Macaca fascicularis: one gene and its partners. The protein of the gene in region 2 purifies or fractionates together with the protein of the main gene of each other region. This does not show direct contact. Links are inferred from orthologs where the notes say so. Each region holds a gene or a part of one and is shown on either strand. Other genes may lie near its edges.

Region 1 (4,115 bases), about 940 kb from region 2:
TGAGAGCCAGAGAGAATGAACTGGAGTTAACATTCCTGAGACATACACATCACCATCAAGACCTGAAATGGACCACAGTCAGCATTAATTCTTACCAAGTGAATACACTGCACGGTTTGAAAAAGTCAAGTATTACTTGTGGCAGATTGGATTATTTTTCAGAATTAGTCACTCCCCTTCCCCCTGCATGGGTGGAGTCTACGTCCTGTCCCTTGATTTTGGGTTTGGCCTTGTTTTGGTCCATGGAATGTGAACAGACACCTGAACAAAGCCTTGAAAAGTCTGCCCTGATGATTAGGTTGTGCTCTTATACTGTTGAATTGCTGTAGGAAGAGCTTTTCCCCCAGGCAAGTTGCTGCTGTTCCCTCAACCTGGGTTTCAGAATGAACATGTGGAACAGAGTGGCCCCAGCCAACCTGCACAGCTAACAACCTGAAGCAGAGTTACTACAACCCAGTGGCAAACTGTAGCAGCCAGGTTTTGCTATGGAGCAGTAGTTAACCCATGCAGCAGCAGCCCTCTAACTCAGTCCTTCCCCTTAGCCCTGCTCCCCAGAAGCAAGTATTTTCAACTGTTTCAATTATTTCTTCTGGTAGTATATCAGTCTTTTGAAACAGTATGCTAATATTTTATTTCTCATTTATCATCTTTAGACCTTATATATTGACTTCCTGGCAGGTCTTATAATTTTCCTTCCACAGATGTGAAGGTTGAGGTCCAGAAGGGTGAAATGACTGTGTAAGGTCCTGCAGTCTTGGTCAAATTCAGATTACTGATGCTAAATTTCACACTCTACCCACCATATACTGTCTACCGATTAAAAGTCAGTTACACTCAAGACACTCTACAGTTCATGCATATTTCCCATCACACATAAAACCAAAAAAAATTTTACCAAAAAATACTGCTGTACTACTGACAACGAAGACACTTCTGAGTTCAGTCTCCAATTTCCAGGCAGAACCGCCCCCATCCTATCCACTACCTTTTTTTTTTTTTTTTTTTTTTGAGACGGAGTCTGACTCTGTCGCCCAGGCTGGAGTGCAGTGGCGCGATCTCGGCTCACTGCAAGCTCCGCCTCCTGGGTTTACGTCATTCTCCTGCCTCAGCCTCCTGAGTAGCTGGGACTACAGGCGCCCTCCACCGCGCCCGGCTAATTTTTTGTATTTTTAGTAGAGACGGGGTTTCACCGTGGTCTCGATCTCCTGACCTTGTGATCCGCCCACCTCGGCCTCCCAAAGTGCTGGGATTACAGGCGTGAGCCACCGCGCCCGGCTCCACTACCTTTTTAAATCAACATTTGACAACTCTTTATGCATCGCGGGAGGTACAAAGGAAGAAACTGCCGGTTTTATTTCTTTTTTAGAGACCGGGCCTGGCTATGTTGCCCAGGTTGGCCTCCACCTCCTGGGCTTAAGGGATCCTCCTGCCTCAGTCTCCCAAGTAGCTGGAACTACAGGTGTAAGCAACTATGCCTGGCCAAAAACGCCGTTTTTTCAAGGAACGTAGCTTCTCGTAGCAGTTGCAACTTTTAATGATGAAATATTGCTCTGCCTGTGAAGGTCACAAGGCAATAACAGAGAAATGGCGTTGACAGTGTTAGTAATAGCCACCCACAGCCATCTGGTCATCGTTCCAAAAAAACAACTCCCCTCAGAATTATCCTGATCTTAGCGGCAAAAAAAAAAACAAAAAAAAAAAAACAAAAAAAAAAAACAAAAAAAAACAAAAAAAAACAAAACTGCTCCCAAGTTATTGTTTTTCCATGGGTCGCTCTTAAATTTGGCATCTCATTAAGTAAACACTCTAAATCATTCTTGGCCGGGGCGGTGGCTCACACCTGTCATCCCAGCACTTTGGGAGGCTGAGGCGGGTGGATCACCTGAGGTCAGGAGTTCCAGACCAGCCTCACCAACGTGGCGAAACCCTGTCTCTACTAAAAATACAAAAAAATTAGCCAGACGTGGCGGTGCACGCCTATCGTACTGGCTACTTGCGAGGCTGAGGCAGGAGAATTGCTTGAACCCGGAAAGTGGACGTAGCAGTGAGCCGAGATGGCGCCATTGCACCCCAGCGTGGGCAACAAGAGCAAAACTCCATCTTAAAATAACATAAAATAAAAATAAAAAATAAATCATTTTCTATATTTCATCTAGAGAGAGCGCATCATTCTAGCATTTTGCCTTTAGTTATTTATTGCGTCTTCCCCAGTCCTGTGAACGCCGGGAGAACCTTCTTGTCTTGGTGGTTGCTGCATCCCCAGCATCTGTCACAGCCCCTGGCACACAGCAGATGCTGACCAAGTATTATCCTGCTTTTACCCTCTATTATTTGACAGCCTTCTTTATTGCTATAAATTAATATTTTACATTTGCAGAACTCTACAGTTTACAACGTGATTTCAACTAATTTCTTATTCCTATTTTAATCTTATTTCTCACGTCAAATTCATCTCACCGAACTACAAAATGAAGCAGAGGAGGAATCTGAACTGTAGTTACTGGGCATAAAGAAGCCCTCTGGGGCACTGAATAAACGTAGCTGACATCATCCCATAAAGGCCGGGTTCAGGCACGCCCTACAGAGGTCCGGCAGAAACGGCGAATTTCCCCTCTGGAGCCCCCGAAAGGTTAGGTCGGTGAGACTGGAGAAGAGTGGGCGAGCCCTGACATTTGAGGCGGCGCTGGCGCAAGGGGGAAATTCTGACACCGAAGTCTGTGAGGGGCCCCGGGAACGGCTTTGCCTCTGCGCCCACCAGTGTGAAAAGCACCCCCACCGTGGCCTACCAGACACAACTCCCACAGGACGCGGGAAACCGACCGGCTGACCCGCATGTCGTAGGTCTACTTCCGGCGGCCGCAGCACGCGGCACCCGGGATTGGCCGAGCCGGTGGCAGTGGGCGGGACCGTCGCGTGTTCCCAGCCGCTATCGCGGTCGCGTCGGAGCTTGCAGGTCAGATCCGTCGTAAATGCGCCGGGTGCTGCTGGGCTTGGCCTGAGAGTAACAGCCCCTAAAGGTCACTTCCTTTAGAGCGTCGCGTGTGGGTCTCTGCGCCCTGGAGTCGCTTTGCCTCAGCTACCTCGCCGACTTCCGAGGGGTGGGTACAGCCTGCCGGATGCAAGGCGGGAGGTCGAGCCCTTTGGCACCTGCTGGGGCCAGATTCGTCCTGGTGACCGCAGCCCACAGGCTCAGCAAAGAACGACGACGATTTGCCTGTTCCCATCCCGCGAGCCTTGGTGTATTGGGGAATCAGATGCAGTCTCTGATGGTTTAACCACCTCGTTGGTGGCTCATTGGAAAATCTGCAAAGCCCAGTGTGGAAGCAAGGCTGTGGCTTGGACAGCGTTTTCTGTTTGTTTCTCTCCGGTTGTTTATGGAAAACACTTATTGCCATCCCTTCCATGGCATCTTATTTCTTTTATTTTCTTTCTGAGAAGTAGAGACGGGGTCTTGCTATGTTGCCGAGGCTGATATTGAACCCCTGGACTCAAGCGATCCTCCCGCCTTGGCCTCCCAAAGTTTTGGGATCACAGGCATGAGCCACCGCCCCCAGCGAGCATCTTATTTCTTGAAGTGAGAGTAAGATCCCATTACTTAGGGTTTCAGTCAGGGGTTATCAAAAAGCCTTTTAAGATAACTTACTTGCAAATGTGAATAGCAATGCCTGCCCAGAGGTGAGTGAGGACCTAGTGAGATCTTACATAAAACACCAAGCTCAAAAGAGTTGAAATGTTGAGTCCTGTAATATTTCCGGTTATAATTCTCTAATTCCGTTTCCATAATGCTTTCAAATTCCAATACTTTGGAAACATACAGTGATCAAGGAGTTATGCCAGTATTTCTCTCAACGGGCAAGGCAAAATCCATATTCCACCCAGCGGTAGACACTTGAATGTAGCAAAACTTTTCTGGCCAACTCCCTATCCTTTACTGTATCCTAGAGATCCCTTCCTTATCTTGAGGCCCACCTACTCTGGAGGTTGGTAAGCAGTGGCTACACCCAGGATGAGAACTATATTCTGGTGACCTTTCGTATGTCTGTAGTTCTGTGAATCTGCTGAATTTGGCAGTGACTCCTATGTAGGGGATTAAAAGTTTGAATCCTGCTACAATG
Region 2 (4,392 bases):
CACAAATGTGTATGCCCAGGGAGAATCAAATCCAAATAGATGAATGTGTTGCTGGATGCAGAGCAGCCAAAGAGCTGTCTGAAACTGGCTATTGTCATGAGTGAACAATGAGGCCTGGCATGGGAATGGAAAGGAACCAAGAACAGACATGAAGGTCACAAGCAAAACCACCTAGGGCGAGGCCAAAAAGAGGGTGGGGGGATGAGGGGAAAATCTGGCTTGTAGCAGAATTAAAACAAAATAGCGAATTAAGTTTGGACATAATTCTTCTGATTAAATTTGAAGTAGCAGCACAATATTCACTTAGTAGGTATTTAATAATCAGAAATTCTGAGTTTGGAAGTCAGGAATAATAAAGTCCTTGGACCATGAGATCTTGGCTACCGCCACTTCCTGGGACTTTCCAATTTCACAGTACTCCGGACTTCAGTATTGTTATGTCATTAATGACAACATCTTTATTTTAATTACTTTTTTAAGAGATGGGGGTCTCACTATGTTGCCCAGGTTGGTGTCAAACTCCTGGGTTCAAGTGATCCTCCCCTGCCTTGGCCTCCCAAAGCATGCTAGGATGATTATAGGGGTGAGCCACCAGGAGCAGCCAATAAGACATCTAAGTTTGGGCAGATTTTTAACTTGCAAAATTATTTACTGAAGTCACTTCTGTGGCTTTGTTGTCTACGTAACAATGGAGTTTTATTCATTAGCCAAGAAAAAGGTACTTAGTTTTTATCTATTAGGTTCCAAAAAGGCAAATTTGTTTAAACATATTTAAGTTGGCCAGGCGCGGTGGCTCAAGCCTGTAATCCCAGCACTTTGGGAGGCCGAGACGGGCGGATCGCGAGGTCAGGAGATCGAGACCATCCTGGTTAACACGGTGAAACCCCGTCTCTACTAAAAAATACGAAAAACTAGCCGGGGGAGGCCAAGACGGGTGGATCACGAGGTCAGGAGATGGAGACCATCCTGGCTAACACGGTGAAACCCCGTCTCTACTAAAAAATACAAAAAACTAGCCGGGCGAAGTGGCGGGCGCCTGTAGTCCCAGCTACTCCGGAGGCTGAGGCAGGAGAATGGCGTGAACCCGGGAGGCGGAGCTTGCAGTGAGCTGAGATCCGGCCACTGCACTCCAGCCTGGGCGACAGAGCAAGAGCGAGACTCCGTTTCAAAAAAAAAAAAAAAAAAAAAAATCCTTCTTGGCCGGGTGCGGTGGCTCACGCCTGTAATCCCAGCACTTTGGGAGGCCGAAGCGGGCGGATCACCTGAGGTCGGGAGTTGAAGACCAGCCTGACCAACATGGTGAAACACCGCCTCTAATTAAAAAAAAAAAAAAATATATATACACACACACACACACACACACACACACACACACACAAAATTAGCCGGGCGTGGTGGCGTATGCCTGTAATCCCAGCTACTCGGGAGGCTGAGGTAGGCGAATCGCTTGAACCCAGGAGGCGGAGGTTGCAGTGAGCCGAGGAGATCAGGCCATTGCACTCCAGCCTGGGAAACAAGAGCAAAAAAAAAAAAAGGAAATCCTTCTCAGATCAGGGCCCGACGTCTGATGGCCAGCCGGGGAGCCGCTCTTGCCCAACTTGGGCGAGGTCGCCTGGAGGGCTTGCCAATGATCTAACGGCTCTGCGGCAGATTCCTCAAGAAGAGGTGCCTTCTCGAAATGAGTCACCGCTTACTGGGCCGAAGCGCGGGCCGCGAGTGCAGGCGAGAGGCGGGGGCTGCCGGTGGGGGAGGGGGTTGCAGCCTCGTGGGCATCTCCTCTCTCGCCGCCCTCCTCCATTTTAGGGAGGGCCTGGCCTCAGTGGGCACCACCGCTATGTCTGCGTCCATCCCAAAAACCTTACACTTGGCTACGATGGAAAAGCAACTTCCACTCCCAACTCCCGCTGTGCTAAGCGGCTCGCGTGTGCAGCTCCCGACCTTCCCCGACGGTGATCCTGCCCCGCAGTCTGTAATCACGTGTTGATCTGCACTTTCCCCTCCAAAGAAATCGGGACCCAGCACGTGCACCTCGCATTGTGCCCCCGTCCCGGGCCTCGGGGTGAGCGGGGGTGCCACTTCCCACCCAGGGAGTCGGCTCGCACGCGCCCCCGACCCCGCCACGCCGGGCCTGTTGGCGCGCAGCCTCCCTCTGAGGGGAAAGAGCCCCGCAAGCCCAGAAAAGCCCTGCGCCGCCTGCCCGTTGCTCAGCCCTTCCCTAATCGTTACCTAGCCGCTGGGTCTCGTGGCCTAGGAGAAGAAGCGGCGGGTGCAGCAGACACCGAGGTGAGTGTGAAGCCGGTGAGGTCTGCGAGGTCTATGCGCTCCGGCTCCCCACACCTACTGTCCGCGCCGCACTCGGACTTCCTGCCCAGCTAAGGCGGGCCCCACCCACTTCCCGCCTTCCAGACACGCCTCCTCAGGGCCGCCTCGCCATTGGTCGGGAAAGCCGTCACTCGTGCTCTCACCTCCCGGAAAGGGGTGAGACTGCGGCGGCTGCAGCCGGGAAAGGGGGGGTGACGACCCGCGGACGTGAGGCGGGCGGAGTTAGGGTGCCCCGACTACCCAGCGGCCCTGTGGTGGTGCGAGCGAAACTCTAGCCCCAGATAGGACCCGTAAGCCGAACTGAGGTGTGCGGAGCCGGGGCCCCGGGTGAGAGCCCGGGGCGGCGTGGCGGGCATGAGAGCTCGGGGCTCCGTCACGTACTGCGAGTCCCGCACGCACTCAGCGTCGCTCCGGGGCCGCGCGTCCGGCCCTCGACCTTGCTGACGACTTTGGCAGCCCGCGCCTGCCCCGGCCCTCCTGCCCCGCCCCTCTTGTCCTGCGCCGCGATCCGGGAGACCCCGTTGGCGTCGAGTCGTTGAGAGGCTACGCGCCTCGGCCCCACTCCGGCGTTGTGTCGCGGGCCGGGCCGCAGCGGTGCGCCTCCGGGGCCACGTGCGCCGCCTGCGCCTGCGCGCTGCCCCCCAGCCGCGCCCGTCCGGCCGGGCTCCGCCTGGCACCCGCCAAGGTGACCCTGTCCCTTTCTCCTTGCTGCGGTGAGAATCAGGCCGAAATAGCCAAAGGAAGGTTCACTTTCCTTTATTTCTACCTCATTTTTCTTGAGTGCCTCCTAGGTGTCTGGCGCGCCACCACCTGCTTCCCCAGTGTTAATTCATTCTCTAGCCCATGTTAATGTTGCATCTGAAATTTCACATCCCCCTCAGTCCCATCTAGGGAACTAGATCAAACCTACCTGGATTCTTGTGAACCATTCATGTAAATTATTTGGAACTGGAATTTCACATAGACCCGGGGAATTTCTCAAAGTTCAAGACGGGTCATATTCCATGGAATATGGAAGGAGTTGGTGGAGTGATTTCACCTTTTTGATCGAGAACTGATAGCCATTAAAACTCAGCTCCGCAATAGATCCCCCCGACTCCAAGGGAGGGCTGAAATGATCACTTCGTTTTCTGTTACGGTGACTTTTATATTTTTCAACATTATTGCTGGTCACTAAGAGAACTAAAACATCTCCTGATTTTCCTCATTTCCTTGCAAAGAGATGTTCAAATATGTACTTGAATTTAATTATTTCTTCTGGTCCGCTGCAAAAACTACTTTTCTTTCTTAACCCCTAGCGTTTTTGTCCTCTTAGCTACTGGCAGGTTTCCATGGCGTAGGTTAAAAGTGAAGGCCTACTAAGTACATAGTATTTGCTTTCCAGTGGGTAAGAAGCAAGAACTTTAGGATTAAATTCAGCAAAATGATAATAATAATAATAAAATTTTGCAAGCAGAGTTTGTGATTTCACCAGCAATACACTAACGTTTTTGGCTACTGAAAACCACTATCTCCAGCCCCATGACTCAGCAGCTAAATCAGCCAACATCTCCTGCTGTTAAGGACTCTAAGAAATCAGGCACTTGGTACTCTTACTTTCAGAGCAGTTCTAAGGCGTGGCCCTGAAAGGGCTCCAAACAATCTTATTTTACATTAAAATGGTTAGAGAGATAAAGATACTCTGCTGTGGCCAGAACCAGTAAATCTAGCAGGAAATGAGAGGCAGAACATGATCCCAGACTGCTGCTGTTGCAAGATTCTTGGAGGCTGCAGCACCACATTCTCAGCCGGCACTTCGACCTCACATTGTAGCTACAATGTTAATGATTACTGGAGATGGCCTGAAATCTTTTTCAAAATTCACAGGCTGCGAAATGCCTTCCCTGTTTCCATAGCTCCTTAGGCTTTGTTAGCAGGCTGTGGGGTTCACATTTGCTTGTAGTCAGCACAAGGGCATTGCATTTAGTTATTATTTCTCACTTGCTGTAAGCTTGTTGAGCAGGTTTATTGGTGGGGGGCAGGTGGGGAATAACTGTCCAAAGCTATCAGAATACCACACTTTGAAGCACT
Region 3 (3,646 bases), on a different chromosome or scaffold from region 2:
CAAGGGTGCTTTATATTTTTCTTGGCTCAATTTTTCCCCACTTTTATTTACTGTCTAAGTTATACCTCATTACTTTGTAATGTTTTTCAGAAGTATGGTTGAGGGGTATTTATTTTTCCTTATGAACTGCTTTGTTGATAACCTACCTATTGTTTAGAACTTAATAAATCATGTTAATTTATACTTATCTCAAACCCTTGTGAGATGAGAGTGGACTAGGCATTTAAATGTAAGTTTGAAGAAAAAAGTAGCCCAAGCAATCAGCTTGACCGTGTACTATATCATACCTTAATGATTCTCTAGCAAATATTTATTTGTATCTGTCCAGTAGAGAATATTTTCATGAATTAAGTAATTGCCACCTAAAAAATAACAGAAGAGAGTATGAAAACAAAAAAAAATCCATGTCTTTTAAAATGTCTTTTACCATGGTGCTTCTTGGCAAGTATCTTATAAATACGCCAAGTCAGATGTTAAAATTTTTTAAAGCAGCTTTATATTTCCATAGTGTAATATTAGTTTGGGATTTATTTCAGGGCCTTAATGTCTGTCTTTACTTGTCTAGAAGTAGCTTCACTGGCTCCTAACTACTGCCCTGGGGCAGATTCAGATGAAATGTGGTATGTAGCCACACCCAATACTGTTGGCATACTTTCATTGAATCTATTCCCATGGAAGAAACCCAGTTGCAATTTCAGTATTTTTTCATCAAAGAGACCAGAGCTATCATAATTGCTTTCATATCATGTTTCCTTTTTATTATATCATATTTTATATCATATGTTTGCTTTCTACATGTTCTTCAATTGCTTGTGCTTATATAAATTTATAATGCTTTGAATAAACAAAACTATAAATAGTGATGGGATCATTTTATACGGATGTGTAAAATAATATTTTCTGAAGAGCCAAACGAATAAATAACTTTACTCCAAATTTTAATGAGCTATTAAATTTTATTTAAATCACTTTTCCTTTCTACCCAAAAGTAATCATCTTAAGTGTTTTTCCAGTGTCTGAGAACATTAGTGGGACATACAGGTGGAGTATGGTCATCACAAATGAGAGACAACATCATCATTAGTGGATCTACCGATCGGACTCTCAAAGTGTGGAATGCAGAGACCGGAGAATGTATACACACCTTATATGGGCATACTTCCACAGTGCGTTGTATGCATCTTCATGAAAAAAGGTAAGGGAAAATCTTATCGTGGTTGGGACTTCTTCCTCTATTATTTGTGAATTTGGGCCCTTTCTGTATAGAGTTACTGAAATAGTGACAATGAGCTCTTAAATTACATTTAATTATTAGACTTCAGATGGTTCTATTCTAGGAAAGCCATAGTGTTTTGTCTTAAAATTGGGGATTGTCTGTAAGTTTCCTTTTTCATTTGCTAGTGTTGTCGGCTTCCTCTTTGAAGCTCTCTACTCTCTAATCCTTTTTATTGTTCTGTATCTTTGATGACTCATCATGTTCAAGCAGAAATCATTTTTTCTCTCTCTTTTTTTGATATTCTTACTTCTGCAAGTGGGACAAATTCAGGCTTCAAGCGTCTGAGCCTTTTTAAATTACCTACCCACCTTACACCCACCCTATCTCTTAAGTCTAGGCAAAGGCTGAGGCCTGTGAGTAATTTGTTCTCTCATTCTGAACTAGTGTCACAACTTTCTAACTTGGTCATCTTACATTTTATATGCTGACATACAGTCCTTTTATAATTATGATAGTGTCACTGCCCAGTTCTTAAGTCTTTGTGAGCCTACTGTTGACTAACGAATTAAGGAAGAAATCCTCAATCCAGTTTTCAAAATGGTGTCTGCCAAACTAGATTGCTTGACTTTTTCTTCTCAGTGCCTTTGCTATTACTTTTATCTCCTCCTGTAAAGCCCTCCTATTAAAATCCTATCTTTCTATTATCTTCATCATACCCCTGTTAAACAAGTGTGATTTCTGCCTCATTTGTCAAAAAAGGTCTCTCTGAAAGGTCCTTACAGTGAATCAATGGCAGTCTTTACCTTTAATTCTGTCTATAGCATCTTCTTATATTAAGAACCATTACATTAAGCAGATTTCACACCAGATTTGTAATATGTTTTCATTGTGTTCCATTGTGTTCTGACTTAAATCTCAACCCTTTAATTTTCTAATTTTTCCAATATGGAAACTGTGGTATTTCTTTTATCTCTTCAGAATGAATGACATAAGGATACCTGAGTTTTCAGCTTTGTTTTGTAATCCAAAAGTGATTACAGTATTTGCATATTGCTCTGGTTTTCAGGAGAGTGTAGCACTAATGTTGAACCACATGTTTAAGGGATAGCCATTGTTTTTAAAGATGTACATATCTTTAAAGATCCATATCAATATTTTTATAGCCTATTGCATATTTATAAATCTAATCATTAAAAGCATAAGCAGCCTGTGTTTGAGGACATGTCTAAAACTGGTTAATTTTTACTGGAATGTATAGTGTAAACACAAATCTGCAGCTGTTTAAATTCCAAATCCTGACTTGTTTTGTTGTATAACCTTTATTGAATTTTTTACCTAATCACAAGGGAATATATGCATCCATAATTGAAATTTTGGAAAATGGCAAAGAACATAAAGAAGAAATTTAAATTCTTTAAACTACTACCACCTAGAGTTCTCCCATTAACATTTTATACACATGCCCACATTAACATTTTATTTCTAAAATCAAAATCTTATTGTATATATTTAGAGGCAGCTACTGCTGCTTTTAAAAAAAAATACAGTGCAGTGGTTTTCAAACTCAGTCCCACAGAACCTCGAGGTGCTGGAACTAAGGTCCACAGGTCAGGGAACCAAGCATGAAGCATTCTAGGCTTCCCAACTTCCCATTCCCTTATTGTATGTTTATATACCAAGGTTTTACATAGGATTTCTTTTGACAAGAGTTGTTCCTGTGTAAGAAAAAGAAAGCTAAAAAACCTTGACTAAATCTATCATGTTTTCTCATATTATTAAAAATTCTAAACATGGGTTTTTTTGTTTTGTTTTGTTTTTCTGTTTTTCCCTCTGCAGAGTTGTTAGCGGTTCCCGAGATGCCACTCTTAGGGTTTGGGATATTGAGACAGGCCAGTGTTTACATGTTTTGATGGGTCATGTTGCAGCAGTCCGCTGTGTTCAATATGATGGCAGGAGGGTTGTTAGTGGAGCATATGATTTTATGGTAAAGGTGTGGGATCCAGAGACTGAAACCTGTCTACACACGTTGCAGGGGCATACTAATAGAGTCTATTCATTACAGGTAAGATCTCTTATCTGTCCCTTAAATGCTCTCCTGATGAATCATAAGGTTGTTTTACTCAGATAATCGCTGTCAAATTGCTGCTCCAGTACAATCCAAAAAAGATTAACCAGATTATTCTGCTGTTTTTATATAAATTTCAAAATTATTTAGATGCTTTCAATTTTCTGTGATCTATTTCTCCTCTAAATACAAATATTTGTCTTGTAACCTGACAATTTGGGACTCTAAGGTTTGCTATATTAATTAATGGTTAAATAGTCTCATAGGAGAGTAACCTGGATTTTAAGAAACTCCTTTGCAGAGGATTAATATGGCCCAAAGCTGACCCTTTGCTTTGATAGCTGAAAGTTGATGGACCATGTAAT

What was found.
Region 1: the proteins of ENO1 (region 2) and PARK7 fractionate together in Homo sapiens (co-fractionation; 3 studies listed by BioGRID). This does not show direct contact. The link is inferred for Macaca fascicularis from reciprocal best matches to the Homo sapiens genes ENO1 and PARK7.
Region 3: the proteins of ENO1 (region 2) and FBXW7 purify together in Homo sapiens (affinity purification with western blotting; 3 studies listed by BioGRID, with this or other methods). This does not show direct contact. The link is inferred for Macaca fascicularis from reciprocal best matches to the Homo sapiens genes ENO1 and FBXW7.

Annotation. Positions count from the first base shown.
Region 1 is NC_088375.1:226,919,719-226,923,833, forward strand, and holds the start of PARK7 (Parkinson disease protein 7), read right to left. Parts: upstream 2,855-4,115; 5' UTR 2,787-2,854; intron 1-2,786. UniProt on the Homo sapiens protein: Multifunctional protein with controversial molecular function which plays an important role in cell protection against oxidative stress and cell death acting as oxidative stress sensor and redox-sensitive chaperone and protease.
Region 2 is NC_088375.1:225,981,280-225,985,671, reverse strand, and holds the start of ENO1 (alpha-enolase), read right to left. Parts: upstream 2,939-4,392; 5' UTR 2,704-2,938; intron 2,347-2,703; exon of another isoform or gene 2,227-2,346; intron 1-2,226. UniProt on the Homo sapiens protein: Glycolytic enzyme the catalyzes the conversion of 2-phosphoglycerate to phosphoenolpyruvate. In addition to glycolysis, involved in various processes such as growth control, hypoxia tolerance and allergic responses.
Region 3 is NC_088379.1:157,243,257-157,246,902, reverse strand, and holds part of FBXW7 (F-box/WD repeat-containing protein 7), read left to right. Parts: intron 1-1,013; coding exon 1,014-1,195; intron 1,196-3,052; coding exon 3,053-3,278; intron 3,279-3,646. UniProt on the Homo sapiens protein: Substrate recognition component of a SCF (SKP1-CUL1-F-box protein) E3 ubiquitin-protein ligase complex which mediates the ubiquitination and subsequent proteasomal degradation of target proteins.